Linked DNA regions of Arabidopsis thaliana. Changing the gene in region 1 together with any one later gene gives a genetic interaction. Each region holds a gene or a part of one and is shown on either strand. Other genes may lie near its edges. The genes, in order: MOS14 and SNC1.

The links.
Region 2: of MOS14 (region 1) and SNC1, changing one suppresses a phenotype caused by changing the other (phenotypic suppression), as found in Arabidopsis thaliana (one study listed by BioGRID).

What each region holds. Positions count from the first base shown.
Region 1 is NC_003076.8:25,123,503-25,137,866, forward strand, and holds the start of MOS14 (ARM repeat superfamily protein), read right to left. Parts: upstream 9,215-14,364; 5' UTR 8,972-9,214; coding exon 8,849-8,971; intron 8,279-8,848; coding exon 8,201-8,278; intron 8,110-8,200; coding exon 8,047-8,109; intron 7,821-8,046; coding exon 7,773-7,820; intron 7,686-7,772; coding exon 7,539-7,685; intron 7,060-7,538; coding exon 6,928-7,059; intron 6,538-6,927; coding exon 6,497-6,537; intron 6,215-6,496; coding exon 6,123-6,214; intron 5,643-6,122; coding exon 5,515-5,642; intron 5,176-5,514; coding exon 5,100-5,175; intron 4,959-5,099; coding exon 4,838-4,958; intron 4,765-4,837; coding exon 4,665-4,764; intron 4,383-4,664; coding exon 4,301-4,382; intron 3,870-4,300; coding exon 3,787-3,869; intron 3,580-3,786; coding exon 3,463-3,579; intron 3,243-3,462; coding exon 3,191-3,242; intron 3,041-3,190; coding exon 2,885-3,040; intron 1,923-2,884; coding exon 1,799-1,922; intron 1,726-1,798; coding exon 1,644-1,725; intron 1,562-1,643; and 15 more. Other genes in the region: AT5G62610 (basic helix-loop-helix (bHLH) DNA-binding superfamily protein), read right to left, coding at 9,615-9,740, 9,830-9,907, 9,979-10,047, 10,129-10,194, 10,277-10,483, 10,799-11,098; AT5G62620 (Galactosyltransferase family protein), read left to right, coding at 13,634-14,364. UniProt on the Arabidopsis thaliana protein: Functions as a nuclear import receptor for serine-arginine rich (SR) proteins. Regulates nuclear import of SR proteins that are required for proper splicing of the two resistance (R) genes SNC1 and RPS4, a crucial step for their functions in plant immunity.
Region 2 is NC_003075.7:9,493,437-9,510,842, reverse strand, and holds SNC1 (TIR-NBS-LRR class disease resistance protein), read left to right. Parts: upstream 1-5,012; 5' UTR 5,013-5,360; coding exon 5,361-5,851; exon of another isoform or gene 5,852-5,902; coding exon of another isoform or gene 5,903-5,928; coding exon 5,929-7,006; intron 7,007-7,191; coding exon 7,192-7,479; intron 7,480-7,576; coding exon 7,577-8,056; intron 8,057-8,269; coding exon 8,270-10,030; intron 10,031-10,121; coding exon 10,122-10,337; 3' UTR 10,338-10,572; downstream 10,573-17,406. Other genes in the region: AT4G16880 (Leucine-rich repeat (LRR) family protein), read left to right, coding at 13,694-13,735, 13,874-14,293; RPP4 (Disease resistance protein (TIR-NBS-LRR class) family), read left to right, coding at 15,143-15,612. UniProt on the Arabidopsis thaliana protein: Disease resistance protein of the TIR-NB-LRR-type. Part of the RPP5 locus that contains a cluster of several paralogous disease resistance (R) genes.

The DNA.
Region 1 (14,364 bases):
AACTTGGTAGATTCGGTCTCTGTCAAGGCTGTTCGAGGTATCAGGCTTACACTTTCCTTAGCCCAACTCACTGCTTGTAACCTGTATGTTCTTGTCAGAGCTAGCAGCGAATATGTTACCTGACCAATACCCAAAACAAAAGAAAACGGTTTTCAAAGGCCATAAACATCACTCAAAAAATGCAGCAAAAAGATAGATTTCCTAAATTTACCGTATCTAGCCGAGAACTGGGAAGTGCCCCAGCTAATGAGGCTATCAATATTCTGGTGATTGTAGCTCCCCGAGGAATAATGATATTGTCCCTGATCCGTACGAACTGTTCTTCATTCACAGACTTCTCGAGGTCAAAAATGTCGGTTAGAAAGGTCAATATCGAGTGGCAGGCTTCTCTGGAAAAGAATTGTTCAAAATATATTGTTAACATCATTTCAAAACTCTCAAGGAAAAACAGCTTATGATGAACAACTTTAGAGAAAGAGAGGGTAAACCTGTGCTGCACTGTGATTCCAATCATTGCGCAGTTTACAAGAGCTGGAAATATAGGAGACGGAATGAATAAATGTGGACAGTAGCGAAGACATCTAGACGCCAACAAAAAGCAGTCATCGGCTATATCTGGTCTCGCAGTGACTTCCTGTAAGAATATAAACAGAATCAGACACCACATCGGATATTAAAACTAAGAACTTGAAGATAGTATTTTACTATGTGAAATTCGTCAACCTTGATACTTGTCATAAGACATGTTGTATGTGCAAAGAGGGTTTCAATCAGGTTCTTCAAGTAGACAGCACACGATGGATCAGAACCAAAAATCTGCAAATCCCACAAAAATTAGAGTCTCTAAAGCTTTTCTATAAGCATTCCACTGAATGGAAAGAACACAAATTACCTTTATAACTTCACTGGATAAGTATAGAAAGCATGGCTGATGATGCTGCTGATAATGGAATTGAATCTTTTCCAGCATTTCTCCAATTGTATCAATTATGTATCTTCCAGAAGTACGTACCTACAATCATTGCCTTCTTTTAGTGAATTATCCTCTATCAAAATTGTCATCCGACATATAGTTTTAGATTTTCTCTTATGTTCATAGACATGGAATGTCTAGCAAACAAAACAATGGTGTTCAGGAATGTCCAGGAAGGAAGTAGGTAAAGAAAAAGGAAATGAATCTCACAGCATATTTGCATGCCCTGCATAGAGATTCCATAGTCCTCATGTCCCAAGGACGACTGCAGTAAAAACCATTTCAAAGTAAGAGGCCACATAAAAGCAATTTGAAGAGAACATGTTAATCATCATGCGCCTAGATTCACTTACGCATCAAAAATAACTCGGAAAATTGCCCAATGCTTATTAATCTCAGCAGCCACCGCTTCAGGGTGGTTCACATACCTAATGTGGTAGCATTTGTTAGTAACACTAAACAAAACACATGGAGATGTATCGCATCATTGAGATATTAATACACAAACCTGAAGAGGAAGGCAAATCGGTCAATATGAACAGTTAATTCACGTGCATGCTTCTTCTCCAAATCTTCTTTCGCCGCTTCCTGATTCACAGATTCACAGTTCCCATCATTATAAGTCTTGACAGTATATCAAACAACCATGCAAATAGTCAAGATGGCAAACCTCTAGAGGAGAGGCGGCTGAAAAGCATAATTTTTCAAGAGCGCCCTTGGCCTGATCTAAAGGCAGTTCGGTAACAACCATACTGCACAATCAAATTTTAGAGATGTCAATAACACACAAATGAGATCTAATCCATCATTCAGTTGAATCCATACCCTAAAGCTTCAACGAGATTTAGTGAATCCTCAGCAGAGACTTTATAACCACCACCGCCATTGATCGCCATACAATAGATATTAAACAAATCTTCAAAATACCCACAAAGATTTTTTCGGCAATCTACAATGAAACATTATTTAAACAGGCATCAGATATTTACAAAAGCAAATTTGTAACATTTTGAATCCAGTAAGAGAAAACGCCAAAACTAATATATGCATATCAGGTCAACAGAAAAACACCTTCCTGTATCTTTCATTTTGGGGAGAAGAGGAAAGAGGAAATTGATTAACAACAAGCAATCAACAATTACAGAACATTAGTTGTTAGATAGCTACAAGCTTTTATTTAGTATCAGTATGGTTTCACACCATATATCATGAAAAGTAATTTGAAAATCGCATTGACGTAAAAACAAAACTGGAAAACAGAATTCAGTCCAAGGAAAAGCATTCAACAAAATTCCAAATACTTGCCAGTATTGCAATGCACCCTATATGCTAGCAATTCAGTAGAGTCGAAGTCAGATCCGTTAGCGTAGGTTCCAGTCAGACCTTTCGACTAGCTGCCATCTTTGAAGTAGGTCAGTATGCACAATTCGATTGATTTTTACAGAGGTGAGAACTTCATACTTCCTAAGAGAAAACTAACAACCAAAATTTAATTTAGTTTGCAAGTGAAAGAGTTATAACTATTAAACTGATTTCCTGAATTTTTGTAGTCCATGAAACTATTTAGCCATGAAAAATCAAGATGAGAAACCTTCTCAACAGCCCTAAAAGACCGTTTTTTTTATATAAAAGGGGAGCTGGTTTAAATCAAAATCCAATGCTAAAGCCTAAAACCAAAATATCTTTGCCATGGTTTCTCATCCAGGAAACAACAAAGAAATAAGATAGCCAGATTTGTAGTGCGTTTTTGACATTATTGTATTGCAAACCAATTGATGACCAAAGTTTGTATACTAGTCCTTGTATGTTTGAAAATGATTTTGCAGAGAAGAATGTATACTTGTCATAATGTCAATGTTATGCTCAGAAAATAAAAAGAAGGGATCAAATTTGGAAGAGAGAATACAATACCGTCACAAGTATGTCTAAAAGCCAAAGCTGCAGCTGCTGCGCAATCTTCAGATGTGCCCATTCCACTCATAAGAATTCTAATGATTGATGGTAATATTGAAACACTGGCTGGTGCAGCATTAAGCCATTTTGAATATGCCCCAACAAGTAAGCATGCTGAAATCAAATAGGGAAGCAGATATCTTGCATTAAAGAAAAAGCTTCTTTCGCATAACTTGGAAGGTTTCTGTTGCGCATACACTAGTGGTTTCCACCAAGTAGCTATTCACCTTCTACATATAAAACTTAGAAAGAAAAGCTATTCACCTGTCTGAAGTAGTTGCGCTTGCTGAGGAAGATTTTGAAGCAACGCCATCACCTGAAAGCAGAATTTAAGAGAATGAAAATTCCACGCATGAGAGATAGAACGGAATCTAAAGCCATTCAAACTTTAAACACTCAAGACTTTATAAGACACGGACCTACAAGCCTTTCATCACACAAAAACAATATGGAAACCCATAATTCATAGGCAGTGAGAAAAAAAAAATAAAAAAATTTGGCAGCAGTAGCTTGGAGGAACTATGTATAATACAAACCTGGGGCATCACTTCAGCTTCAACAACCGAAACATAATTTGATATTGCCCATATACAGAACAAAATAGCTTCTGCTGGACGCCAATCTTGAAAATTGTTTCCTGTCTGGGCATTGGCCTAAGTACATATTTCACAAATGTCAAAGATGCTGAAATCCAAAAGGTAAATAAAATGTAACTGTTTGGTGCTGATAATCCTAATTGTGTTCTACCCTGATCGTATTTAACTTTTTCAGTATATAAAAATGCTGATTCAATATCTCCCAATGCTTATTTTGTATTTAATGATAGAACAGATATATGCATGGAGATCCAAAGCACAAACCTCAAGAAGCTTCATATAGAGAATCTTAAGAGTAGTATCCCCTCCCAGGATTAACGCTGCATCTATTAATACATCTGCAACAGCTGAAAATGTCACAAACTTCATCAGTGAAATTAGATAGACAGAGCAACATTCCAGAGAAGTAAACAAGAAAATGAGGTAATTGGTCCCATCAAAGATGATTGAGAGCACAATAAGAAGTACATATCAACAAAAGTATGAAGAATAGGTAAATCAAAAAGTGACGTTACGAGATACAGCACCATACCAAAGCTAAGTGACTAAAACAACCAAAAACCTCAGAAGAACAATACTTTATCTGCGTCAAGAAACAAGTGTAAAGGATTGAAACATAGGGAGAACAACAGTGCTAAGCAAACAAATTACGAAAATCTAAGGTCGCGCTGATCTATTTGGGAAGCTCTGAGGGGTACACTTATTCCTTAGCACACTTAACTCAAAAGATCTTGATCTAATGTAATATTGAGAACAAGTAATACACCGCTTTGATTACCATATCTAGTCTGCTTGAATTCCTTAAGGTCCTCATATGAGAGGCCTTGATAATCTTCAGGATACTGAACTCTGAAGCCAACCTGTGAAGGGAAACCAGTGTATAGGTGACATAAACTGCAGAGCATACAATAACCCATATGATTTTCTGTTTCCACCAAAAGATGATCGACCAAATAAACTTTAGAAATCAAGAATTTTTTCAAAGAGCAATATTAATTTAAGCATAAGTCACCCGAGCATGAGAATTCAATTTTGTCTCTCTGGATTAGAGCAAACCAATAGAAACGGCCTGGGTTCAACAACGAGCTTCAAATATTCTTGAAAGAGTAAAACATTAGAGTGGTATCTGATGACTCACTCACCAAAGATACAAGGCTCTGATAAGCTGGCTGAAAGATATGCAGTCTTCGGTTTCTCTCAACTTCAATGGATGCTTCACTACCCAATGAACTATAAGATTCCCTGAAGATTAAAAATCACACTCTCAGAATATGACCCTAGGAACACCCAAAAACATAGAAAAGGCTGAAGTTACCTCTTTGTCAACATAAGTTGAAGACTGTGCCAAAAGTTGAAGGTCATCGAGGCTATATCAAATTCTGGGTGTGCAGTAACTTCCAGCAGGGCATGCACAATAACCATTGGTTCATCTGAACCTAGAGGCCAGAAATAGTACCTTCAAACATATTAGATTACCAACTAAAGCATTTTGCGCACCAGAGGCCAAAAGCAATCAAGACACATGAACCAGAACACTTAAAATAACAAGACAGAGTAGCAGAAATGAGGCCGTATACCAGTAGCTATTAGTTCAACATATGAATCGCCTACGTCAGCGAATAATCGACCAATAGCTTTGACATCTTCTTCATCCTGAAAGAGAAATAATTCTAAGAATCAAAAGAAAGAAATACAAACATATGCCAAAAATTACAACACATTATGAGGGATATCTTTAGCCACATATCAAGTCATATAAACAGAATATAACCCTTTTAGCACTACAGTTTAATTAAATTAAACAAGGATAGGCCATTAGTTTCCTACTATTTGATGCATCTGATAACCTTTTCCCTTAATAGAGTCCACGAGCAACAGAATCATAGCCGTTCAAGCCAGAGACCAGTGAAACAGAAAATTTGTGAAATAATGAAGCTTAATATCAAGCAGATTCAGCCATCAACTTGTATCAATACCAAAGGTAAACAGTACCTTTGAAGAATCTCTTAGATGGGCCTGAAGACTTAAAATCTGAGGCACAATAACTTGAATCAAGGGTGTTTGTGCAGAAATACCACCAGAACTTGGTGATGCTGTGTGATGTATCAATTCAGAGATAACTGCGAAGTTGAAAATGAAGTTTCTCTATTAAAACTCTAATAATGAATTCTAAATTGAAGGAAACATTGGCTTGTAGGTTGAAAACTAATAGAAGGCTATTTTCTATTTGATAAAGAACAAAAAAATTCCTGCTCATTATAATGAAGGTGAAAAAACCATCTTAAGGCAATGCAGTATACACCCAACACACATCAAACACTAATTTCCAAAATTCAACAAGAAAAGCTTAATAACCAATTTCTAGAAGCTCAATTTGCAAATTCTCGAACTTCGCATATTCCAACTAAGAGATAACAGGTATGCTAGAAATTTCGCAGCTCCCATAGTGTTCCAATACCAGAAGATATCACAAAATAACTCATCCATAAATAGTCTCTATTCAGTAAAGATATTTCAATTTACGGGGAAAAATATATCAATGTGAAGTATCCCAAGACTCTAAAGGCCTATGTATATATTAGCTTTTCCAACTAGTATACCATTAACAGATGCCTCTGATAGTGGATCACAGTTCAAACTTGAGAGAGCTGCATGCACCAATGGATGACAGGCAAGCACTGTTCCAGGAATCCTGAAAAAGACCACCCCAAAGTTCACCAGTATACAGTTCAGTCAGTATCATCGTTGCTAAGTTGAATTGGTGAAAATAAAGAAGGATAGCAAGTAGAAACCAACAGCAACAAATCAGATAAACTTAGCTTTGTGTCTAAGATGATTCTATATAGGACAAAATCTATGACCCATATATTAAAACAATTTACAACCTGACGAACTCGCAATGAATATTTGTAATCTAGACGAGCTTTTGTTCTAAATAAAACTGGAGATAGAAAAGCAAAAGAAAAGAGCATACCCATGCCTAAGACGGAGCCAAGAAGCAAATGCCTCGAGAACCTGAAAAATCAAAATTACAGAACACAATTGACAATAAGTGACTTCTTGCAACACCAAAAACACTAGCTGGTCCAACACACAGGAACATGGGACATTTTTCAGAAGCTAACAATAATGCAAGAAGACATATTAAATTTTGGCAGGTGAGTGAAAACCTAAGATGTAATCAAGCTTTTACCTAAAACTAGCAAATATGTTTTGACAAGGCAAACATAGACTCTGACTGGTAAAGAAAGTAAAAACTAGTGGAAAGTAAAAAAACAGACATGCATCAGAAAACATAAAAAGAAGAAGGTTATTTTGATGTGTTATACAGAGGGATCATGGAAAGTGAATAACAAACTATGTACTGAACTATGTCACGACTCTATATTAAAGATAAGCTCTGACCTGTTCCTTAAGTTCGGATATTTTCAAACATGCTGATAAGATACTAAGTGCAGCTTCCATTTGAGAAGTAAGCTCTTTTTCGAATTGACGTCGTCGATCCGGACGAGCAGCTATTTTGTAGTTAAATGTTTCCTGGTCATAGCAAGAAGGACAATATAAGATCAAGACATCATATAACCATCTAGATTAAAGCTAAACATTCCTAAAGTGAATCAAGTTAATGAAAGGGAAAGGTCAAACGATGTGGTAGAGATTTGTGAAAAAATTAGAATCTTCATTTAGTTACAAATAAACTACCAACATTTTTTGCAAACAATACCATACAAAATATCAAGGTCTTGCCCAGCCAATACTTTAGGGATTGAAATAACACTCACAGAGTAACGTCGAATGCTACCTAAACATAGATATGGAAAAAGTAAAAAAGGAACAGAATATTCTCCAAATAGGTCTACCCAATTTGAGGTCAGTAATACCAGCATAAATAATAAGTAAGAAGATCCAAGTCAGACCAAAATAAGGCCTTTCATATCTATATAGCCGGATACATGAAGTCAAATTAATTACTGAGTGAGATGAACACTTAAACAAAGGAATAAAAAATACTCTACCTCGGGCAAAACTGTCAAGAGTTCCAAGAAACCAGGCACATATTCAGGATGCATATGCATCTCATCCCTAAGCCAGCTAATTATACCACCATCTCCCCAGTCTGCCGCAGGAACATGCACCGCCAAGGCAGCAACAGCAATGCTAATCTACAATATAAAATACTTAAATAAGATAACTCGACACAAAGTACATGACTTTATACGCACAACAGAAAATTCCACATATGCACTTACCTGGGTCCTAACTTTTGGAGGGCCCTTGTGGAACTTTTTTAACAATGTCTGCATTTGAGAAAATAATGAAAGTCAAAATTTTCCGGGAAGTAATTGTCCAATACCAAGAATAATAGGCCAGAAAGATGAAATCATAGTAAAACCTAGATCCCAGAATACTCTAGTTCAACTGAGTTTTCCTATTATGTTATTGCTCAAAGGAACAGACATACTAATGAATAACTCATGAAACCCTACAACTTTGGAAGAAATAGTTAATAGAACAAAGAATTACCGTTAATGATTGCCGTAGCTTCTGAAAAGCCCCAGGTGGTAGTTCTTCAAAATCTCGTTGAACCTTCGAGTGAGACAGACTAGATGTCACCAGAATGCTCCAAGATTGTGTGATAAATGAATAAGGATTTACAGAAACATTCAGGTGCATTTACCTTGCTTCGAAGGGTCTGAGAACAGAATATCAAAGTTTCCAAATTGCTAGAAGAATCATGAAGTAAATTATCCGCAACCTAGAAAACATACAACAGCACAGAGTAAGAAATATTGTAGAACTTCTCCATCAAAAAAAATCCTCTTCTCCGCAACAACAATCATGGGTCTAAAAGAAAAGAGCTCATATAAAACCTAGCTAATCGTTTCTCTAACAAGGTAAATCTATTCACACACCTTACACATACTTCTCAAACCAGCTACAGGAAAAAGTGCACAATTGAACTTAGATGTACTGAAAATTCGAGATTTCTGCTATGCATAAGCCTATATGACCTTAACAAGCGAATCGCTAATACAAATTGACTAAAGGATGAAAATTTATGCACTTATATAGTCTAAAGTAACTCAGAAATGAACTTAGACGTACTGAAATTTTGAGATTTCTGCTATGCATAAGCCTATATGACCTTAAAGAGCAAATCACTAATACAAATTGACTAAAGGATGAAACTTTATGCACCTATATGGTCTACAGTAGCTGAAAATCGAACATTAAACTCTAGCACAAGTGCTACAAAACAAGGAAGAACAAATCGAACCTAAACAAATCGAGATTAAATAATTGAAATCGAAAAGAAAAAACTCGCCTGCCAAGCATCGAGAGTTCCTTGGAAGTTCTGAAGCCAGCGATCAGCGTGCACACGCACTGTATCATCCGGGTGATGATACAGTGCGTTTAGGGCTTCTTTGACCGCGTTCTGATGCTCCATAGCTATGAATCTTTACGCGTTATTCGCTCGTACGGTCACCAAATCACGACCAGAGAGAAAGACCCAGATTGAGAAATAGAAGAATTTGCCCAACTGAAATTCGGGATTTTGTCAAATCGATTTCGCCCAACAAAAACAATAAAAATAAAAACTTTTTTTTTCCCTCTTTGTCAAAAAGGTTTTTTTTTGGCGCCCCTCAACTTGAGTGAGGAAGAGAGATAGAGATCGAATTTTGATCTGAAAGAGGATGAAGAAGAGAGAATCTCAGCCGTTAGATACAATTACTTTGACTTAAAGTCAAATCCTTCTTCTTTTATTTTGAAGACAGAAGTTGTTTACTTTTTTTCAGTTGTTGCAATAAATTGAAGACAACAAAAAAAACGTATCATTGATTCATCATAACATAAAGATTATACAAAGGACAAGATTTAAGACCAACATATGTTACTGAATCAATTGTTACAAGTTATATAATAGGACAATACAACAATGTTTTATAAAGTGTTAATCTCTCTGGTCACTCTCATATTCTATCTTATGATATAACAGCAAAATGATACACACGCATAGGATAAAAAATAAAGGGTTGCATTCATTTTTACTGCCTACAAAACACATCCATCAATCAGAGAAAGACTCTTTTTTATGTGGTTCGGTTAAAGTTCCCATCAACCTGCATATGGAGCCACTCCGGTTGAGATACTCGGGTTTCATTAGCTTCTTGTTGCTCGTATATTGTTCGATGAACGTCAATCGGTAAAGTCCCGAGCTGATACAACACACCAAGAGCTTTTAGATTTAGTAGCTTTGATTAAGAAAGATAAGATTTTTCTATGTTCTTTTAGATTTGGGACTTACATCACCGGAAGGAAAAACTCCTATTGTCGGACCAGTACTTGCACCCGAGTTAACAACTTCTAGCTTCATTGATAGAAACTGCAGACCAAACTCCATGCTTAGGCATGTATAATTGTAACATATAACAGAGAGGTGTTAACGACTTTTACCTCAACTTGCCGCTGCAATGACTGAATATAATTGATAATCTCATCGAGCACAAGGGCTTTTCCGATTATCTGATCAACAGAAATATCTTGTTGAATGTTTTTTAGGCTATAATAACATCATTCACAAGCAGGGACCAAAAGAACATGTACCTTATTACATCCTGGAATTATATCTTGAAGAGCTGTCATCTTCTCACTGATCTTTTCTCTTCTAGCCTGTCAAAGACAACATTGTGATTCTAATAAAAGGAACAGTTTTTGAGGATAAAATTTATGGTGATTTTAGCAGAAGAATTACTCGCTCTGCTAAACTATGCCGGTCAGTAGCTTGTCCTCTTCTTGCTCTCACATGAATATAATCCTTTGGTGGCTCAGGTTTGTTCTTCTGTTCCGTTGCTTTGCTTCCACCACCACCCGAACTTGTTTCGCCTTCAGGTCTCATCGAACCATCTCCATTTCCACTTTCAGATCCACACAGTTTTCTTTTCTTATCCCCTGATTCTTTCTATTAAAAAAGTAAACAGATGGAAAGCTTTAAGATCCTAAATCAAACTCTCAATCTAAGATCACTAAGTAAGCATTGACCATTCCAACATCTATCAAACTAATGGTCTTCAAGCTGAATCCAACTTAAGTCAAAAAGTCAATGGAGATAAGTCATCTAATCTATAAACTAATCCTTGATCCCTAAACCAAAGACTTAAACTTTGACTCATTGATTTTTAGATCACCACCAAGCTAAAGGATCTAGATTCAAACATTCAAAAGACCCAACAAATAAAAATCAGGACTTTTCAAAAATTGAAGTGCAAAATCTCACCAATTCATTACCACTGCTGCTGGAAGAAACCATCTTTGAAGAATCATCCTCAGAGTTCAAATCTCTAGTCTTTCTACTTCCCCAGCCAGCAGTTAGATCGGTGACTGTAGATTCCTCAGCCGCGGAGACGTCTTTATTGCCGGAATGTTCAGAGCGAGTAAAGACTCGACCGGAGTTAACAGCTAAACGGAGACCAGAGCGAACGGCGTCGTTTACAGGGAAAGGCCAAATCTCGGAGAGAGTGTAAGAAGAAGGATTAGCTGCAGAGAAGGAGGAATCGTTCACTAGTGGAGGGTCCATTTCCGATGATCGTAAAAAGGGTTGACCCAGATTTAGGACCCGGATCCGAGAAGTGAGGAACTTGATAGAAAAAAAGAAGGAAAAGGTTTGAGCTTTGCGAGGTCTTGTCTTGTTTATAGGGTTGTGTGTGAGGTGGACAAATAGAGAGAGAGATCGGAGAAGGTAAGACAGATGTGGGTAGTGATAATGCGCCACTAGTATGCAATGGAAGATGATTTATCACCAATACTTTCAGAAAATCTCATTAATTACACAGCTTACATCAAATATTTTGCCGTTTCTGTTATAAAAAAAATATTACAATGGTAAAATTTTCGTTTCGTTTAGAAACAAAATTGAATAGAAAAGATATATTATGGCGCAATAACCTAAATAATTTCTATCAAAAATAAAAAATAAAAATCTCACAATTATGTCTTTTAGTTATCCTTTGATTAAATTATTTTTTACTGTGAACAACTTTGGTAATTTTACTGTGAACAACTTAAATACACCAAAGGACAATGCATCTCTCTTAGAAAAAAATACATACTAGCAAAACCAAATCATGTTACTTTGGTAATTTCATTCTGACGTGTTTAAGGAAAAAACGTATATGTTTGGATTAAAAATTTGATCTTCGTACCATATGTCCATCCTAGTAAGTACTCGATCGCCTATGTTTACAATAATATTCACCAATTAGTGTTTTTTTATTTAACATAGATCTCCCACTTCATAGTCATATGTTTTATGAAAGTTAGTTGTGTAAAGTGAAGGGAACCACACACCGGTACGTAGGATACGATCGAGGATGTGACAATGGGCCATATATTTAAATTTTAAATGCTTAATCACAAAAGCCAAAATTCTAGCTAAATATATAAAACGCTAATATGAAGGATAGATGACATGTGTTTTAGTCTTTTTGTTTGCATGTCAACGTTCTTCACGTTAAATTTTTAAAAATTCAGAAGCTATAGTTTTATTATGTTCAATGTAGTTTTAGCCTTTTTGGTAGATGACATGTTCAAGGTAGTTGCGGAAAAATACAAGGAGCCAAGAGTGTCATTTTTCGTTTCGATGATTTCAACCTTCATTTGTTGTGTTTATTATAAAAGTTTGTATTTTTGAATGATGAATACAGAGATATCAAACGTTTTTAAGAATACAGTATATAACAAACAAAAAAGCTCTAAAACTATTCACTGAGTTAAAACTTTTAAAAGTCAATTCTATAGCATTGAATGCTCTAAATGTGTAGCAAGAAAATTGTTTAAAGACCAACAAATTAGAAATTGATGTTTTTCTGCAAAACTTTTTTAATTATTAATTTTATTATCGAATTAAGTGGAATATGTTTATATTTTGATGAAATAATGAAAAGGTGGAAAAGACAAGTGTAGAAAGAGAAGACACCTGGATGCAAAGGTGTCACACATGAAGCCCAATTCCTCTCTTTCCATTTTTCCCATAAAGCTTTTTTGCTCTACTCATCAAGATACCTCTAATAAAAAAACAAGAAACACTATTTTTTTGTTATCAATTTCTTCTGTTCATTTCAGTTTGGTCATGAAATTAAGAAAATTAATAGAGAGAAAAGTCAAAAATAAAAACATGAGCATAGGAGTACTATGTGACTTCATTGGTGATGGAATGACACAGTTGGCCGATTTAGCACCGACTAAGTAGACATTAATCAATAATAGTTTAAATTTCAAAATAAGAATCATATCTACTAAACAATCAAATACATATGATTCCATCTACTATTATTGTTTTTTTTTAATTTATAAATCATATAGTACTAATTAACTAATAATTTCACATTCTGTCTCGTGTAATCAAGACAACCTTTTCGATTTGTTTTTTTGGTCGATTTGCTTAACCTTAAAAATCTTATTACTTCAATTATAAGATTAAAATTCGACAAAAACATAACGTTTTTCCTTTTTATTCTACTGGTGGTGGAAATAATCATCTAGAATAATAAAATTACTTTAATTTGAAAAGATAAATCCAACGAATCTATAACTTTAATCGAAAACTAAATAAAATAAGGAAAAAGAGAAGATTTAAAAGCGAAGAAAAGATTCGAAAAAGAGAGAGAGAGAGATGGACCAAAACGGCGGTTTATTCAGACGTCAGCAGCACTAACTAAGAAAGAGGAGAGAGCTTTAACTCTTCCCCTTGCTGCTTCCTTCTCCAAATTCTCCTGACGCGTTTCTGTTCATCTTACGATTTTACACGTCTCTCTAAAGATTTAAATTTTCGACTTTACGTTTCTTTCGGGTTTTGAATTTTCTCACTAAAGATTTGTCTTTTCCATAGAAAGTTCTTGAATTTTCTCTCTTCGTGTTCAAAGGGTTTTTCAGAATTTATAGTAACCCACCAATCTACTGATTGTCTCCGTTCATCGTAATCTCTCAAGATTTGATTTTTATTTGTTTTTTGAAATTTTGAATTTTGAGATTCTGTTCCTCTTTGATCATCATCACTAGGGTTTTCTGTTTCCAGTTAAAAAAAAGTTTGGATTTTTCTTCGTATAATTTAGGAATGAGGAAGCCCAAGTTGTCAAAACTCGAGAGGTTAGAGAAATTCGACATTTTCGTTTCTCTAAGCAAGCAGAGATCGGTTCAGATACTAATGGCGGTTGGGTTACTCTACATGCTTCTTATCACATTCGAAATCCCTTTCGTCTTCAAAACCGGGCTTAGTTCTTTATCTCAGGATCCGTTAACCCGACCCGAGAAGCACAATAGTCAGAGAGAGTTACAAGAGAGACGAGCTCCGACTCGACCTTTAAAGAGTCTGCTTTACCAGGAATCACAATCGGAATCACCGGCTCAGGGTTTAAGAAGAAGGACTCGGATCCTTTCTAGTTTGAGATTCGACCCGGAAACGTTTAACCCGAGTAGCAAAGATGGGTCTGTGGAGCTTCATAAATCTGCTAAGGTAGCTTGGGAAGTTGGTCGAAAGATATGGGAAGAGCTTGAGTCTGGGAAAACGTTGAAAGCTTTGGAGAAGGAGAAGAAGAAGAAGATTGAGGAACATGGGACAAACTCGTGTTCTCTCTCTGTTTCCTTAACCGGGTCTGATCTTTTGAAACGTGGGAATATCATGGAGCTTCCATGTGGTTTAACTCTTGGGTCACATATTACAGTGGTTGGGAAGCCACGAGCTGCTCATTCGGAGAAGGACCCTAAGATATCGATGTTAAAGGAAGGAGATGAAGCTGTGAAGGTTTCACAGTTTAAGTTGGAGCTTCAGGGTTTGAAAGCAGTGGA
Region 2 (17,406 bases), on another chromosome or scaffold:
CAAGTACCAAGTGGAATGTTACAAAACCTACCTATACCGGAATGGAAGTGGGACCATATAATGATGGACTTCGTCACGGGACTGCCGACGGGGATCAAGTCCAAACACAATGCGGTATGGGTTGTAGTAGACCGATTGACTAAGTCTGCGCACTTCATGGCAATCTCGGATAAGGATGCAGCCGAAATCATTGCCGAGAAGTACATAGACGAGATCGTGCGATTACATGGGATTCCGGTTAGTATAGTGTCGGACCGAGACACAAGGTTCACGTCAAAATTTTGGAAGCCTTTTCAAAAGGTCTTAGGGACTCGAGTGAATCTAAGTACTGCATATCACCCACAGACGGACGGACAGTCCGAACGAACGATTCAAACCCTCGAGGACATGTTGAGGGCATGCGTCTTGGATTGGGGAGGAAACTGGGAGAAATATCTAAGGTTAGTAGAATTTGCGTACAATAACAGTTTTCAAGCTAGTATTGGTATGTCTCCCTATGAGGCGTTGTATGGCCGAGCTGGTAGAACACCGTTGTGTTGGACGCCAGTGGGCGAACGTCGGTTGTTCGGACCTGCGGTCGTGGATGAAACCACGAAGAAAATGAAGTTCTTAAAAATCAAGTTAAAGGAAGCCCAAGATCGTCAGAAAAGTTACGCCAACAAGCGTCGAAAGGAATTAGAATTCCAAGTGGGAGACTTGGTGTATTTAAAGGCGATGACCTACAAAGGGGCAGGGCGATTCACATCAAGGAAAAAGTTAAGGCCAAGGTACGTTGGCCCGTACAAAGTGATCGAACGAGTAGGGGCGGTGGCATACAAACTTGACCTTCCTCCAAAACTAGACGCGTTTCACAATGTCTTTCATGTATCACAACTACGGAAGTGCTTAAGTGAACAAGAAGAAAGCATGGAAGATGTACCTCCTGGGTTAAAGGAGAACATGACGGTGGAAGCATGGCCGGTACGGATCATGGACCAAATGAAGAAAGGGACTCGGGGGAAATCAATGGATTTGTTAAAAATCTTGTGGAATTGTGGAGGCCGTGAAGAATACACTTGGGAAACCGAGACTAAGATGAAGGCCAATTTTCCGGAGTGGTTCAAGGAGATGGGTAAAGATCAACTTGGATTCGATTTGTCGAATCCAATTCAAAGGGGAGACTTGTAACGCCCGCGATCCTCAATAGGATCGTTGGCTGGGACTTGGTCCGAGAAAAGAAGGTGGAGTCTCGGACAAGTGGGAAGGAGTTGGCCATAAGCTCGGACAAAGGGAAATCATGCGGGCTAAGCTAGGATCGTAAAGGAATCAGCTGGGTCAGCTCGTCCGAAGCTCAAGCTCAGCTGGAAGGAGTGACGGTTACTCGGGTTGAGTGACAGTCCAGCTCGAGCAGCTGGGCGAGTGACGGTTGAGCTCGAGGCAGCTGGTCGACTGTCTGACCAGCTGGGCGGTTACCCGGACGGTTACTTGGGCGGTTACGGTCGAACGGGTGCTCGCCCAAAGGGTGGATAAGGGCGAGCAGTTACGGACCGAGAGATGCAACTCTTCGGAAAGGTGCAAGGAACGGAGGTGATCCTTCGGGAAGCATCAATTCGCTCCTTATATAAGGGAGGGCGCCCAAGACCTTTAGAGGCAGCAGAACACACGGAAAATACCGGAAACTCACCATTAAACTCTCTCCCTTTCGGGAGAATAAATCATCGGAGGAAATCGGTAGGCGGACTGTGGCCGGCAAGGAAGAAGAAGGGTCGGATCGACCGAACATCGTGAAGGAAGGTAAGGAATCCTAGACCTCGAGTCTAAGGATTCTAGAATGCGTTAAATGAGTCGGGATTCCTTGAAAGGAACGACTAATGGGCTGGGTAGAATCGGGTCATGTGCAACCTACACAAGCCTCGGTCCGGGCAAGGGATCGGCTGGGGCGGAGACGCGGCTCGGCGGAGGACCGGCGGGTCTTAATTGACCTACCGAGAATCGGCCGGACTTATGCGCGATCTTCCCTTCTCCGAATCCTCTCCGCGGATCCGAGTAGTGTAAGGACTATGGAGCATTGCATGGACTTGCATATGACTAAGTAAATGAAATTACTTATGGCTCTATGACTTTCAGGAACCAATGGTGATAGTGGGAAGGACTTGGCTTAGGCGCGAGAGACTCAAGGCCGGAATGATGGGTGGTGATAGTTTCGGATAGTCTAGGGATCGATTAAATTACTTGTAATAGCTTATATGCAAACTCATAAGTTGTATCGAATCCTTTACTTAATTAATAAAGTATCCGATTGTTTGTTTACTCTATTCGTCTCATATATTGAATCACAGAATTGTATGAAACGGATTACACTAGGGAATGAACCTCATAAATGGTTAGGGTCGAGTCACTTAGTGACTTGGGTCGAGTCACTTAGTGACTTGGGTCGAGAGATCTCGTCCGGACTTAGGTAGTCCGGATCGGGGCCTTTCATTATCTCTTCCAGAACTGCTGCAAATTGGATGGAGATGCGCGAGAACTCATCTTACGGTCATTGTTCAAGCCTATGTCCTTACCAGGTGGAGAAGTGCCAACGTATTTTCAACATCGAGCTTATGGAGATTCCCTAACTGTCACTTTACCTTAGAGCTCTCTTTCTCAAGTATTCTTGCTTTAAGGCTTGCATCGTGGTTGACCTTCTAACTGAGGGCAAGAGTTGGGGTCCATATTGTGAGGTAAATGCTGGCTTCAATGGGACACTGTATTGCAAATCATTTTTTAAAGATGCAGACCTGCGGTTGTGTAAGACGGATCATCTGGTTTTCTGTTCCTTCAACTTCCAGCCTGAAGATCTTCCATCTAAATTGACTTTCAACGATGTGGAGTTTAACTTTTCTTGCTCCAAGAGGATAAAAGAATGTGGTATACGACTCTTGAATGTGTCTCCATTTCCAGATGATAGTGATGGAAGCTCTGAAACAGAGTACAGCCAACAGTCTCGAGAAAAATGTGATGTTGTAGAGACTGCGAGAAGCAATAAGCGGATGCGGGTAAGCCTTTTGACATAATTAGAACTGAAAATTGCAAAGCTATCTCTTGATGTTTTATTATATTTTCCAGGATCAATACCTTAGTGACAGACTATTTAACAGAATCGATCCTTTGGTTTACGATGCAGATGACATCGGGAACATCTGAAGAATATATCAACTTACCCTGTGTCCAAATTGTAGCGGACACAAGCTTGACCGCTCTAAATATGGAGCTTTCGTTAGGGCAGGGAGAAGCATCATCAGTTTCTTCTTATCCATCTCTGGAGGGGGAATCTTTGTGTGTTGATTCCATGATAAGTGAACAACAAGATGAAGAAATTCCTATCTTGAATTCTGGTTCTGGTAACTGAAGCATCTTATTATTCGGTTTTCCTCTGTTTTAGGATAACTTGGGACCGAGCATGACTATAATGATAATGGCAAGACGATTTCATATGTTTTGACACAAGCCATTTTTCCTGCAGATATATCACTTCCCTTGATACTAGTTAAATCCATATGAAAATATCTTGTTCCCTGAGCTACTCATTAACACATCTAGGATGGGATGGAAAAGCTAATTCTCTAGGGCTGTTCTCGGCTGAATGGTCTTTGGACCAAGGACCTAAAAAAAGACGTGTGTTCTGCGGGAGTTACTTTGTTATACCTCATAATGGGAAGGAAAGCTCTCACTGGTGACCCTGAACAGTTAAGATCTGACTTGACTGAATACACCATCACTCGGTTCCACTTTTTTCTTCTTTCTTGCCGTCTTACAACGACCTTGTCATTCCCAGGAACATAAAGGACATTGCGCAACTACGAGGCAGTGAAGAATTATGGGAAGTAGCCAAGCTGCACAACCGTGAATCCTCTTTACATGAGGTAAAATCTCATCTTTCATCCCTTGTAAACTCTCCATTCATTTGATTACTGCATTGGTGTGAACATAACATACATGTTCTGTTCTTCTTTGCCGCCAGCATTTGGATTCAAATATCACAAAAGGGTTTTCATTGTTAGCATTTTGTGTTCCAAAACATTATATATCTTAAAAATGTAAATTACCGACAAAATTATTAGATAGATGATCGTGAGAGATGAGTTCAGGTTGATTTTTGTGTTGTTGTTTCAGGAATTGTACAAGTCAAGGTACTTGAAAGGGATGGAGTTGAGAAAATGGTACGAACTCAACCCAAAACGCATGGAGTTTCTAGATGCAATTCCATGGTCGCTCCTTGACCTCGTTGATAGATGTTTGACCGTTAACCCGAGACGGCGAATCAGTGCAGAGGATGCTCTCAAGCACGACTTCTTCCATCCAGTACATGAAACCTACCCTTAGAAACCAAATGCTCCTTAAACGGCAGCAAATGCAATCGCAGCCTACAGTGGTTGCTGACACAGTAAGCCAAAACTCTAAACTAATATTACAATTGTAAATGTAAACAAGAAAACTTTACATGAAAATATTCTCTCCACTGTCCACACCACACAGCTCTAGAAAACTAGATAGTTTGTTGTTAGTGTTTTCACTGTATTATTAGTTGAATTATAATCCTCATAATCGATATACTAATTATTCTCCTAATTTCCATGCATGTATGTACAGTATGAATAGGAAAACCAGACTTTTGATATTAGTGAACCTTAACATTGTTAAAATAAATTGAAATCTTGTTTCTGTCTTGAACCACTGACAGCCACAAAATTTTGGGTCTTCAAAAATATCTGTGGAGAGGAAAAGTAGCTCTCGAGGAAGTTTCTGTCTATTTTGCCTAGAAATTATCTTGAAATCTTGTAGAATGGCTACGTCTCATCATCATAGATAAATTCAGTGACGACTGATAGCCACAAAATTGACTTATCGTTATAGAGTAGAAGCTTTCCAAGGAAAGGAAGGGGAAGTTTCTGTATCACATAATTATGGCCTTATCTTGTTAGGGATTTGATTTTTCAACCACTAAAAAAATATCTTGTACAGTAAGTCTTCTATGCAAGTCTTCTAAGAAAGGAAGACCAAGTTTACGTATTATTTGTCCCAATTGTCTTGTAATGGGATTTGATTTTAACCACTAAAACAATATCTTGTATAGTAAGTCTTCTATACAAGTCTTCGAGGAAAGGAAGACCAAGTTTCTCCTCTCTGTTACTGTGTTGTATTATTGATATACTTCAAAGAGTTTTCCTTTGAGAAATTTCGTCTCTTCTCTCTCATCCTCTGCCATGGCGTCTTCTTGCTTCAGATAGATATACAATGTTCTCAGATGGATATACAATGTTTTCGCGAGCTTCAGTGGAGAAAATTTCGGCAAATTGTTTCGTGGCCATCTTGTCAAGGAGCTCGAGCTCGACCGTGAAATGATGGATACATCCAAAGATGATGATATGGAGATAGCTTCTTCTTCTGGCAGCCGGAGATACGACGTTTTCCCAAGCTTTCGTGGAGAAGATGTCCGTGACTCATTCCTCAGCCATCTTCTCAAGGAGCTCAGGGGCAAAGCAATCACATTCATAGATGATGAGATCGAGAGGAGCCGCTCAATCGGCCCGGAGCTTTTATCGGCAATAAAAGAATCGAGAATAGCAATCGTTATCTTCTCTAAGAACTATGCTTCATCCACCTGGTGCCTGAATGAATTGGTGGAGATTCACAAGTGTTATACGAATTTGAATCAAATGGTGATTCCGATTTTCTTCCACGTTGATGCTTCGGAAGTTAAAAAACAGACCGGCGAATTTGGAAAGGTCTTTGAAGAGACATGCAAGGCTAAATCAGAGGATGAGAAACAAAGTTGGAAGCAAGCTCTAGCAGCTGTTGCAGTTATGGCCGGATATGATCTTCGGAAATGGTATTTCAATGAATAGACTTCGTGATTTTTTTGTTTTGCGTTGCTTCTTTAATGAAACAGTTGACTATTGTTATTAGGCCTAGTGAAGCAGCCATGATTGAAGAGCTTGCCGAGGATGTTTTGAGAAAAACTATGACACCATCGGATGATTTTGGCGACTTAGTCGGAATTGAAAATCATATAGAGGCAATAAAATCAGTATTGTGCTTGGAATCCAAGGAAGCTAGAATAATGGTCGGGATTTGGGGACAATCAGGGATTGGTAAGAGTACCATAGGAAGAGCTCTTTACAGTAAACTCTCTATCCAGTTCCACCATCGCGCTTTCATAACATATAAAAGCACCAGCGGTAGTGACGTCTCTGGCATGAAGTTGAGGTGGGAAAAAGAACTTCTCTCGGAAATCTTAGGTCAAAAGGACATAAAGATAGAGCATTTTGGTGTGGTGGAGCAAAGGTTAAAGCAACAGAAAGTTCTTATCCTTCTTGATGATGTGGATAGTCTAGAGTTTCTTAAGACCTTGGTGGGAAAAGCTGAATGGTTTGGATCTGGAAGCAGAATAATTGTGATCACTCAAGATAGGCAACTTCTCAAGGCTCATGAGATTGACCTTATATATGAGGTGGAGTTCCCATCTGAACATCTTGCTCTTACGATGTTATGCCGATCTGCTTTTGGGAAAGACTCTCCACCTGATGATTTTAAGGAACTAGCATTTGAAGTTGCGAAGCTTGCCGGTAATCTTCCGTTGGGTCTTAGTGTCCTTGGTTCGTCTTTAAAGGGAAGGACCAAAGAATGGTGGATGGAGATGATGCCTAGGCTCCGAAATGGTTTGAACGGAGATATTATGAAAACATTAAGAGTCAGCTACGATAGATTACATCAAAAAGATCAAGATATGTTCCTTTACATCGCGTGTTTATTCAATGGTTTTGAAGTCAGTTACGTCAAAGATTTACTTAAAGATAATGTTGGGTTTACAATGTTGACTGAGAAGTCCCTCATACGTATTACACCGGATGGATATATAGAGATGCACAATTTGCTAGAGAAATTGGGTAGAGAAATTGATCGTGCAAAGTCCAAGGGTAATCCTGGAAAACGTCGATTTCTGACGAATTTTGAAGATATTCATGAAGTAGTGACCGAGAAAACTGTAAGTTTTTTTCGCAGCTCCGTTTGAATGCATGACTTTATATTAATATAATCGTAATTTGGGGATTGATAAACTTAAGCAATTGTTGCCTCATGCGTAATTAAAATGTAGCTTTGATGTGTCAGAAAATTAAAAAGGGTTGCGATTGTTAAGATTATATTAGTTTTCTTCGGATTTTTTTTCAGGGGACAGAAACTCTTCTTGGAATACGTTTGCCATTCGAGGAATATTTTTCGACAAGGCCGTTATTAATAGATAAAGAATCGTTCAAAGGCATGCGTAATCTGCAATATCTAGAAATTGGTTATTACGGGGATCTACCTCAGAGCCTCGTTTATTTGCCCCTTAAACTCAGATTGCTAGACTGGGATGATTGTCCATTGAAGTCTTTGCCATCTACTTTTAAGGCGGAATATCTAGTTAACCTCATAATGAAGTATAGTAAGCTTGAGAAACTGTGGGAAGGAACTCTGGTACGAATTCTAAATTTTATTAGTTGTCAGTTTTTAGAACAGAACTGTGGTATATTTGTGAACGTGTGTATTCTCTTTTTCCATATTTTGTTTTCAGCCCCTTGGAAGTCTCAAGGAGATGAATTTGAGGTATTCCAACAATTTGAAAGAAATTCCAGATCTTTCTTTAGCCATAAACCTCGAGGAATTAGATCTTGTTGGATGCAAATCTTTGGTGACACTTCCTTCCTCGATTCAGAATGCCACTAAACTGATCTATTTAGATATGAGTGATTGCAAAAAGCTAGAGAGTTTTCCAACCGATCTCAACTTGGAATCTCTCGAGTACCTCAATCTCACTGGATGCCCGAATTTGAGAAACTTTCCAGCAATCAAAATGGGATGTTCAGACGTTGACTTTCCGGAAGGGAGAAATGAGATCGTGGTAGAAGATTGTTTCTGGAACAAGAATCTCCCTGCTGGACTAGATTATCTCGACTGCCTTACGAGATGTATGCCTTGTGAATTTCGCCCAGAACAACTCGCTTTTCTCAATGTGAGGGGCTACAAGCATGAGAAGCTATGGGAAGGCATCCAGGTACATTGTTAATGCTATGCTGATTTTTGTTTACCTTCTGTTATATAACTAATTAACTATACCCAAATTTGTTATTATGGCTTGTGATCCACGGTTATGTCTTACCACGGTTATGTCTTATAATAATGTTTAATTATAATTTTAAACATATACAGTATAAAATTAAAATGATTATCATCGATAATGATTGAAGCATACCAATGTTTTTTTCAGTCGCTTGGAAGTCTCGAAGGGATGGATCTGTCAGAATCTGAAAACCTGACAGAAATTCCAGATCTTTCAAAGGCCACCAAGCTCGAGTCTTTGATACTCAACAACTGCAAAAGTTTGGTGACACTTCCTTCTACAATTGGGAATCTTCATAGATTGGTGAGGTTGGAAATGAAAGAATGCACAGGGCTGGAGGTTCTTCCGACCGATGTCAACTTGTCATCTCTCGAAACCCTCGATCTCAGTGGTTGCTCAAGTTTGAGAAGTTTTCCTCTGATTTCAACTAATATTGTATGGCTCTATCTGGAAAACACCGCCATTGAAGAAATTCCTTCTACAATTGGGAATCTTCATAGATTGGTGAGGTTAGAAATGAAAAAATGCACAGGGCTGGAGGTTCTTCCGACCGATGTCAACTTGTCATCTCTCGAAACCCTCGATCTCAGTGGTTGCTCAAGTTTGAGAAGTTTTCCTCTGATTTCAGAGAGTATCAAATGGCTCTATCTGGAAAACACCGCCATTGAAGAAATTCCAGATCTTTCAAAGGCCACTAATCTGAAGAATTTGAAACTCAACAATTGCAAAAGTTTGGTGACACTTCCTACTACTATAGGAAATCTCCAAAAATTGGTGAGCTTTGAAATGAAAGAATGCACAGGGCTGGAGGTTCTTCCGATCGATGTCAACTTGTCATCTCTTATGATCCTCGATCTCAGTGGTTGCTCAAGTCTGAGAACTTTTCCTCTGATTTCAACTAATATTGTATGGCTCTATCTGGAAAACACCGCCATTGAAGAAATCCCTTCTACAATTGGGAATCTTCATAGATTGGTGAAGTTAGAAATGAAAGAATGCACAGGGCTGGAGGTTCTTCCGACCGATGTCAACTTGTCATCTCTTATGATCCTCGATCTCAGTGGTTGCTCAAGTCTGAGAACTTTTCCTCTGATTTCAACTAGAATCGAATGTCTCTATCTGCAAAACACCGCCATTGAAGAAGTTCCCTGCTGCATTGAGGATTTCACGAGGCTCACTGTACTTATGATGTATTGTTGCCAGAGGTTGAAAACCATCTCCCCAAACATTTTCAGACTTACAAGACTTGAGCTCGCCGACTTTACAGACTGTAGAGGTGTCATCAAGGCGTTGAGTGATGCAACTGTGGTAGCGACAATGGAAGACCACGTTTCTTGTGTACCATTATCTGAAAACATTGAATATATCTGGGATAAGTTGTATCGTGTTGCATACCTCCAGGAACATTTTAGCTTCCGTAATTGCTTCAAATTGGATAGAGATGCGCGAGAGCTCATCCTACGATCATGCTTCAAGCCTGTGGCCTTACCAGGTGAAGAAATCCCTAAGTATTTCACGTATCGAGCTTATGGAGATTCCCTAACTGTCATTGTACCTCAGAGCTCTCTTTCTCAAAATTTCTTGCGATTTAAGGCTTGCGTCGTGGTTGAACCTCTCTCCAAGGGCAAGGGTTTTTATCCATTCTTGAAGGTAAACGTTGGCTTCAATGGCAAACAGTATCAGAAATCATTTTCTAAAGATGCAGAACTGGAGCTTTGTAAGACGGATCATCTGTTTTTCTGTTCCTTCAAGTTCCGGTCTGAAGATCTTCCATCTAAATTGAATTTCAACGATGTGGAGTTTAAGTTTTGTTGCTCCAATAGGATCAAAGAATGCGGTGTACGACTCATGTATGTCTCTCAAGAAGAGAACAACCAACAGACTACGAGAAGCGAGAAGCGGATGCGGGTATCTTTTGACTTTTGATTTGATTTTCCAGGATCGAAATACCATAGGGACAGACTATTTAATAGAATCTATCGTTTGATTTATAATGCAGATGACATCGGGGACATCTGAAGAAGATATCAACTTACCCTATGGCCTAATTGTAGCGGACACAGGATTGGCCGCTCTAAATATGGAGCTTTCGTTAGGGCAGGGAGAACCATCATCATCAACATCTCTAGAGGGGGAAGCTTTGTGTGTTGATTACATGATAACTGAAGAACAAGATAAAGGAATTCCTATCTTGTTTCCTGTTTCTGGTAACTGAAACATCTTATCATTCTGTTTTGCTCTGTTTTAGGATAACTTGGGATCGACTATGACTATAATGATAATGATAATGATAATTAATTACATTATCCAACTCTGCGTTTGTTTTGAACATTTCGCTTTTCCTGAAAGAATAAATGTTTCAGAAAGCCACACTTTAGCATATTCTGGAAAAACATCTTTCGCATGGTTTTGTATTGTACCATACATCTATCTATTTCCACATTGAATTTGGGAGCGTACCTACTTGAACTCAGGTACTACCCAAAATAGTCTTGCCTTTTTTAAAACATAGATGTCAAGGTTTATGTTAGTAAAGGTTGTTTTTCTCTTTATTAGCAATGAATAAATCAGACTTTGGGTACAGAAAACAACAAGAATCAGCAACATTTGCATATCCGCTGATTCAATAGCCAAAAGGCAGAAGCGTTTTTGGCCTAACTTCGGCCAAAGATGTAACCAGCATAAGGAACAATCCTTCGGGTGAAGGAAAGAGCTTTTAAACTTTCTACAGGAGACATTGTCTGGTCCACTTCCAAACCATGAAGTATCATCCAGCTATCCTACGTCGATGAGAATACATGTCGCTGCTGTTCCCCCATGCCGCTGCACTCTTTAATTGTATCGTAAAGAGTTAAAGTTGTAGGCCTGAACTACTCACTAGAACATCTAGGATGGAAAGCTAATTCTCTGGGGCTGTTCTTGACTGAATTGATTTGCTTCAGATCTTTGCATCAAGGGCCTAACATAGACGTGTGGTCTGATGGGGACGACACCTTTCACTGCTGACCCTGAACAGTTAAAGATCTGCCTTGACTGAACTCACATTGTTAACATTCCTTTCCTGGATCCTTAGCCGTCTCCACAGCTTATCACATTGTTAAGGCAACCTGAAACGTATTACAACTCTGTTTTGTAATGAACGTGGGATCGACCATGACTATACTGGTAATGACAAGACTATTTCTTAGTTTTTCACACAAGCCATTTTCTCCTGCAGATGATGGAGTACTGACAACTAGAAAAATTTTATGGTTCCATGTCCAGAACAGCAGAACCACTCTGTTCTTACTTCTCTCTGTTTTGCTTCTTTGAAAAATTCGCTTTCCTGAAAAGATGTAAATTTAACAGTCTTGTTGTTGAGTTTTGCCTTAAGTGTTAAGATACTCTACAGGGAAGAGAAGCTTCCAAAGACTCTAGTCTACAAAGAAGGTTTCACCTAAGGGAAGTTGAGAACACACTAGAAACAGCTGTTGTGTTTCTCATAAATAGACAAGGGACAGAAGAGTAATTAACTTCTGCTTCAGTCATAAGCTTTGTTTGTCTTCTTCCCCTGTACGGGAAAACAGAGCATGCGAGGGTGAAGAAAAAGAGGAGAACCCTGCATATAAAAGAGGAGGCAAGCTGAACCCTAAAAGACAACAAGAAGAGAGCTAGATGGGGGTTTAGGTGAGGCGGCTGGGAGTGTCCAGTTCGCCTCTAGGGTTTATGTAACCGAAACCAAGCTTTCTAGTGGATTTCCGAGTACAATCTCGGCGAGATGTAGCGTTTCCGGTTTGGAAACGTGAACTCGTTAAATGGTGTGTGTGTGCTCTTTCTATTTCTTCTTCATTCGTTTTTCTAAGTCAACACACGAGAGATCCAAATTTCTTTGAGTGATAGTGAGAGATTCCGCAAGAAACAAGTTAAAGGTTCAAACTTTCTCCACACTTGTCTTTTGAAACACACATATCTCTCTACGTGTATGTTACCAAAGGTTATTTTTCTCTCTTTAAATCAATGAATAAATTTGGTAAAGAAAAATGTATTTCACAAGAGAATTATCAACAGCAAAAAAGTGTTGGAACTAAATTTTTAAATAGCAACCTCATCAGCAACAATTGCATCACTGCTACCGTGGCGTTTCCTACACTCACAGTAAAAAAACAGTGATTAAAACATAACGCACCACCACCACAGCCCCATACATACAAACCAGCTTCCACCCGTCCCACTCACCGACCTCCACCACGACCCTGAGCTCAAGTGAGCTAGTCATTGTCACATTTAGGATGTGAAAGCTAATTTCTCTGGTGCTTCTTTTAGCTGAATTGGTTTGTGCAGGTTTGCTTCAGATATTGCACCAATGACCTAATAATAATAATAAAAACATAATACACCATCAGTCGATTCCACTCTTTTTTCTTTCTTGCCGTCTTACAACGACCTTGTGATTCCTAGGAACGTGAAGGACATTGAGTAACTACGAAGCAGTGAAGACTTATGGGAAGTAGCCAAGCTGCACAATAGTGAAACCTCTTTGCCTGAGGTAAAATCTCATCTTACCTCCCTTATAAACTCTCCATTCACTTGATTGCTGAATTTGTGTGACATAATACAAATGCTCTGTTCTTCTTTGCCGCCAGCATATGGATTCAAATAAAATGGTTTTCATTGTTAGTCCAGAACATGATATAACTTTAAAATGTAAATTACTGATAAAGTGATTTGATAGATGATCGTGAGAGATGAATTGAATGCACATAGATTTTTGTGTTGTTGTTTCAAGAATTGTACGTTGAAGGGGCTGGAGTTGAGAAAATGGTGTGAACTCAACACAAACGCAGAGAGTTTCTAGACGCAATCCCACGGCCGCTCCTTGACTTCGTGGATAGATGTTTGACCGTTAACCCGAGGCAACGAACCAGCGCAGAGGATGTTCTCAGACACGAGTTCTTCCATCCAGTACATGAAACCCTTAGAAACCAAATGCTCCTTAAACAATACAGCAAATGCAATCGCAGCCTACAGTGGTTGCTGACGCAGTAAGCCAAACTTTAAACTAATAATACAATTATTGAAAACTAAAAGAGTAATTTAGCAAACTAGAGAGTTAGTGTTAATTAGTATTTTCACTGTATTATTTGAATTAAAATCCTCATAATCGATATACTTATTCTCCTAATCCATGTGCATGTATGTATTGGGAAACAAGACTTTGATATTAAACAATCATAAGTACATTCTTACGATAAACTGTCTTGTACAAGGACAACTGACAACCACAAAATTTGTGTGTTTCAAAATATCTGTGTAGAGGAAACGAATAACGTAAGTTTCTGTCTAATTGCCTAGAACTTGAAATATTATTTCTGTCTTGTACAAAGACTTATCATAATTCAGTGACAACCACAAAAATTCAATCTTCAAAAATATCTCTTGAATGTGTCTCCATCTCAGGATTATAGTGATGGAAGCTCAAGTTTGAGATTTTTCCCTCAGATTTCAAGTAACATCATATGCCTATGGTGGCGTTATTGTCCATTGAAGCGTTTGCCTTCTAATTTTAAGGCTGAGTATCTGGTTGAACTCATAATGGAGGATAGTGACCTTGAGAAGCTGTGGAATGGAACTCAGGTACTAATTTTTTATTGTTTTTGTTGTCAATTTGAAAACAGAAATGTGTTATGTTTATTGATTTATTTGTTCAAAAAATTAAATGAATTTTTTGAAATGTTTACGAACGTCTGTTATTCTCTCTTTCCTTGTTTTCAGTTACTTGGAAGCCTAAAGAAGATGATTCTGCGTAATTCCAAATATTTGAAAGAAATTCCAGATCTTTCTTTAGCCACAAACCTCGAGAGACTAGATCTTTGTAAATGCGAAGTGCTAGAAAGTTTTCCAACTCCTCTCAACTCGGAATCTCTTGAGTACCTCAATCTCCTACGATGCCCCAAGTTGAGAAATTTCCCTGAGATTATTATGCACAGTTTCAGAGGAGAAATTGACATCGAGGTAGCAGATTGTTTATGGAACAAGAATCTCCCTGGACTCGGTTATCTTGATTGCCTTAGGAGATGTAATCCAAGTAAATTTCGCCCAGAACATCTCAAAGACCTCACAGTGAGATGTAACAACAAGCTTGAGAAGCTATGGGAAGGCGTCCAGGTAATTCATACGTATATTATATATTGATCAAGATTCAATAAGAGATTCATCCGTACAAATAAGGAGAAAGGCCTAGTATTGGGTATGTGCTACAAGGAGTTGGGCCGAACACATGAGAAGTCTATGGAGAGCTTCTAGAAAGAGTGAAGGCGCACAAATATCTCTTGTAGCCGTTGAAGAGGACTCACGAGTGTCTTTAGCGACATGGTCAACCAAGGACCAGTCGCTCTCACCATCAAGACCAAGGAACCTCTTCTCTCATGTCTCTTTCAGTCTTACGTTAATTGTAAACGGTCATATTCCCTTTGTGTGTCTTTAAATACATTGTAAACACACAAAGGTTACTAACTAATTCTATCAATATGATTTGGTCATTCTCACTCATATACCAACTCTCTTGTTCTTCATAATTCTCTTACTCTTTGCTACAATTCCGCATATTCTTTCATTATATACAAGGACAACTGATAACCACAAAATTTGTGTTTTCAAAATATCTTTGTAGAGGAAACGAATGTAAGTTTCTGTCTACTTGCCTAGAAATTGAAATATTATTTCTGTCTTGTACAAAGACTAAGACTTATCATAATTCAGTGACAACCACAAAAATTCAATCTTCAAAAATATCTTTGTATGTAGTGTAAAAAAGCTTTCGAGGAAAGGAAGGGCCGAGTTTCTTTATTATTTACGTCTCAATTGTCTTGTTAGGAGATTTGATTTTAGCCACTTAAAAGAATATCTTGTACAGTAAGTCTTCTATGCAAGTCTTGGAGGGAAGGAAGACGAAGTTTCTCCTCTCTTTCTCACACTATGTCTTGCTGATTTACTTCTCTTAAAAATCTTCGTCTCTTCTCTGAGTTCCCTCTATCGTCTCCCATGGCTTCTTCTTCTTCTTCTCCTAGTAGCCGGAGATACGACGTTTTCCCAAGCTTCAGTGGGGTAGATGTTCGCAAAACGTTCCTCAGCCATCTAATCGAGGCGCTCGACCGCAGATCAATCAATACATTCATGGATCACGGCATCGTGAGAAGCTGCATAATCGCCGATGCGCTTATAACGGCCATTAGAGAAGCGAGGATCTCAATAGTCATCTTCTCTGAGAACTATGCTTCTTCAACGTGGTGCTTGAATGAATTGGTGGAGATCCACAAGTGTTACAAGAAAGGGGAACAAATGGTGATTCCGGTTTTCTACGGCGTTGATCCTTCTCATGTTAGAAAACAGATCGGTGGCTTTGGCGATGTCTTTAAAAAGACATGCGAGGACAAACCAGAGGATCAGAAACAAAGATGGGTTAAAGCTCTCACAGATATATCAAATTTAGCCGGGGAGGATCTTCGGAACGGGTATGTTTTATTTATTCCACTATTTCTATGAGTGTTTATAATTATTGCAAAACTAGAAAATGTGCGTGGGTTTAAAATTAATATAAAATATGAAATAATTTTAAAATTTACATAATGAAATATTTTTAGCTATTTAAAAACAAATTTTTTATTGTGTATATCATATTACATAAATTAGTTGTTTATAAAGCTTTCAAAAAATATTTGGAATTACTCTCAGTTAAAGAGAGCAAATTAATTTTGTTTTGAATAAAAATTTCAATTTCATTATGGAATATAATTATATTAGCATCTACAATATGGGTAGCTTGAAATAAGTGTTATATGTTTTGTTGATTTTGAACTCATTAAATTTGTTTTTCTTTTGTTATAATTTATATGAATTCATGTGGTGTAAAATAATTTATTAATAAATATATAATTAAAGTTTCAATTAGCATGTCAATATGACATATTACATTTTTACTTTCACAATAAATAATATCTACTCAAGATTTGGTTTTTTAATCGACAAAATTGATATATTGGTAAGTCCTGATTTTCAAAATCAACTGACGACCTTTATGTTATTGAAAAAACTAAAATGATCTCCTAACTTCTAAATTACACACTTTCATTGTTTCACATCATCATCATCATCTATTGTTTGAGAGAAATGCAAGATTTTATCAAGCTATTACACTTTCTTTACAAACAAACCAATGCCCTTTTTAAGAGACTCAACAAATTCGTCCTAGGTATAATAAACCGTATTTCAAGCACACCACTCGACATTGATCTAATGCGCTATTGTATAAAAAGTTATTTTTTTAAACATCATTATCCTTTTTATAAATCTTGCTTTACTGAAATTAACAGTTTACCCAAAATATATAAAACATTTTGTCTCATATTTCGTAAGACACATTTTATTTTGTCTTGATATAATATATAATTAAACCTAAATTTCAAATATAATTAAGGATATAGATAAAAGGTCGCACATGATGGCTTCTCAAATACTCTCATATAAAAAATCTTAAAATTTAAGAAAAGATAAACTTGAAAAATAAAAATCCTAAATCATTTCAATATGTCACTCATATAAAAGAATTTAATTTTGTTTTGCTTCATTATATATAATAGAGTCTTTTATTATGAATTATTTGGTCCTAAATATAACTTTTAATGTGTATTATAGGCATAGATTTTTGTTATTTGTATTATGAGTCTTTCAATATTTTGACTTATAGGTTTGAAAACAATTATTGGAAAAGTCATTAAATATAAGTAATGATAGAAAAAGATTAAACAATTTTCCTCATATGAGTGAACTAATGTTGATCATGTTTTCTTTAGAGGCTGAGAATTGAGCTTCCTTATGCTAAAAAATGAACACAATTTTAAGTTTTTTTTTTTGTCAATTTGGATGCCAACGCAAATTGATGTAGAGTAAGATGAGATTGAACAAAATTACTGAAATGTTGTTTTAAAGAACATATATGTCAACAAAATTTGGTAACTATTTATAGAAATATTGGGTGAACAAATTATAATTCTCATTTTAAAATTCAAAACATTATAAACAGAAACTACATATAATTAGAATTTAATTTTATTAACAAAAATAAAAAATATTATACTAAAATTTAACTCGAAATATTTAAGTTGGAAAGAGAAATAAATAGTTATATAATTAGTATGGTCATACCTATTGTTATCGCTCCACCATTAATCGAGATTAACTAAATCACTTGCATCAAATTTTGTATTTTATGAATGATCAAAACCTTGATCCTTACTTTCTCTTGCAAT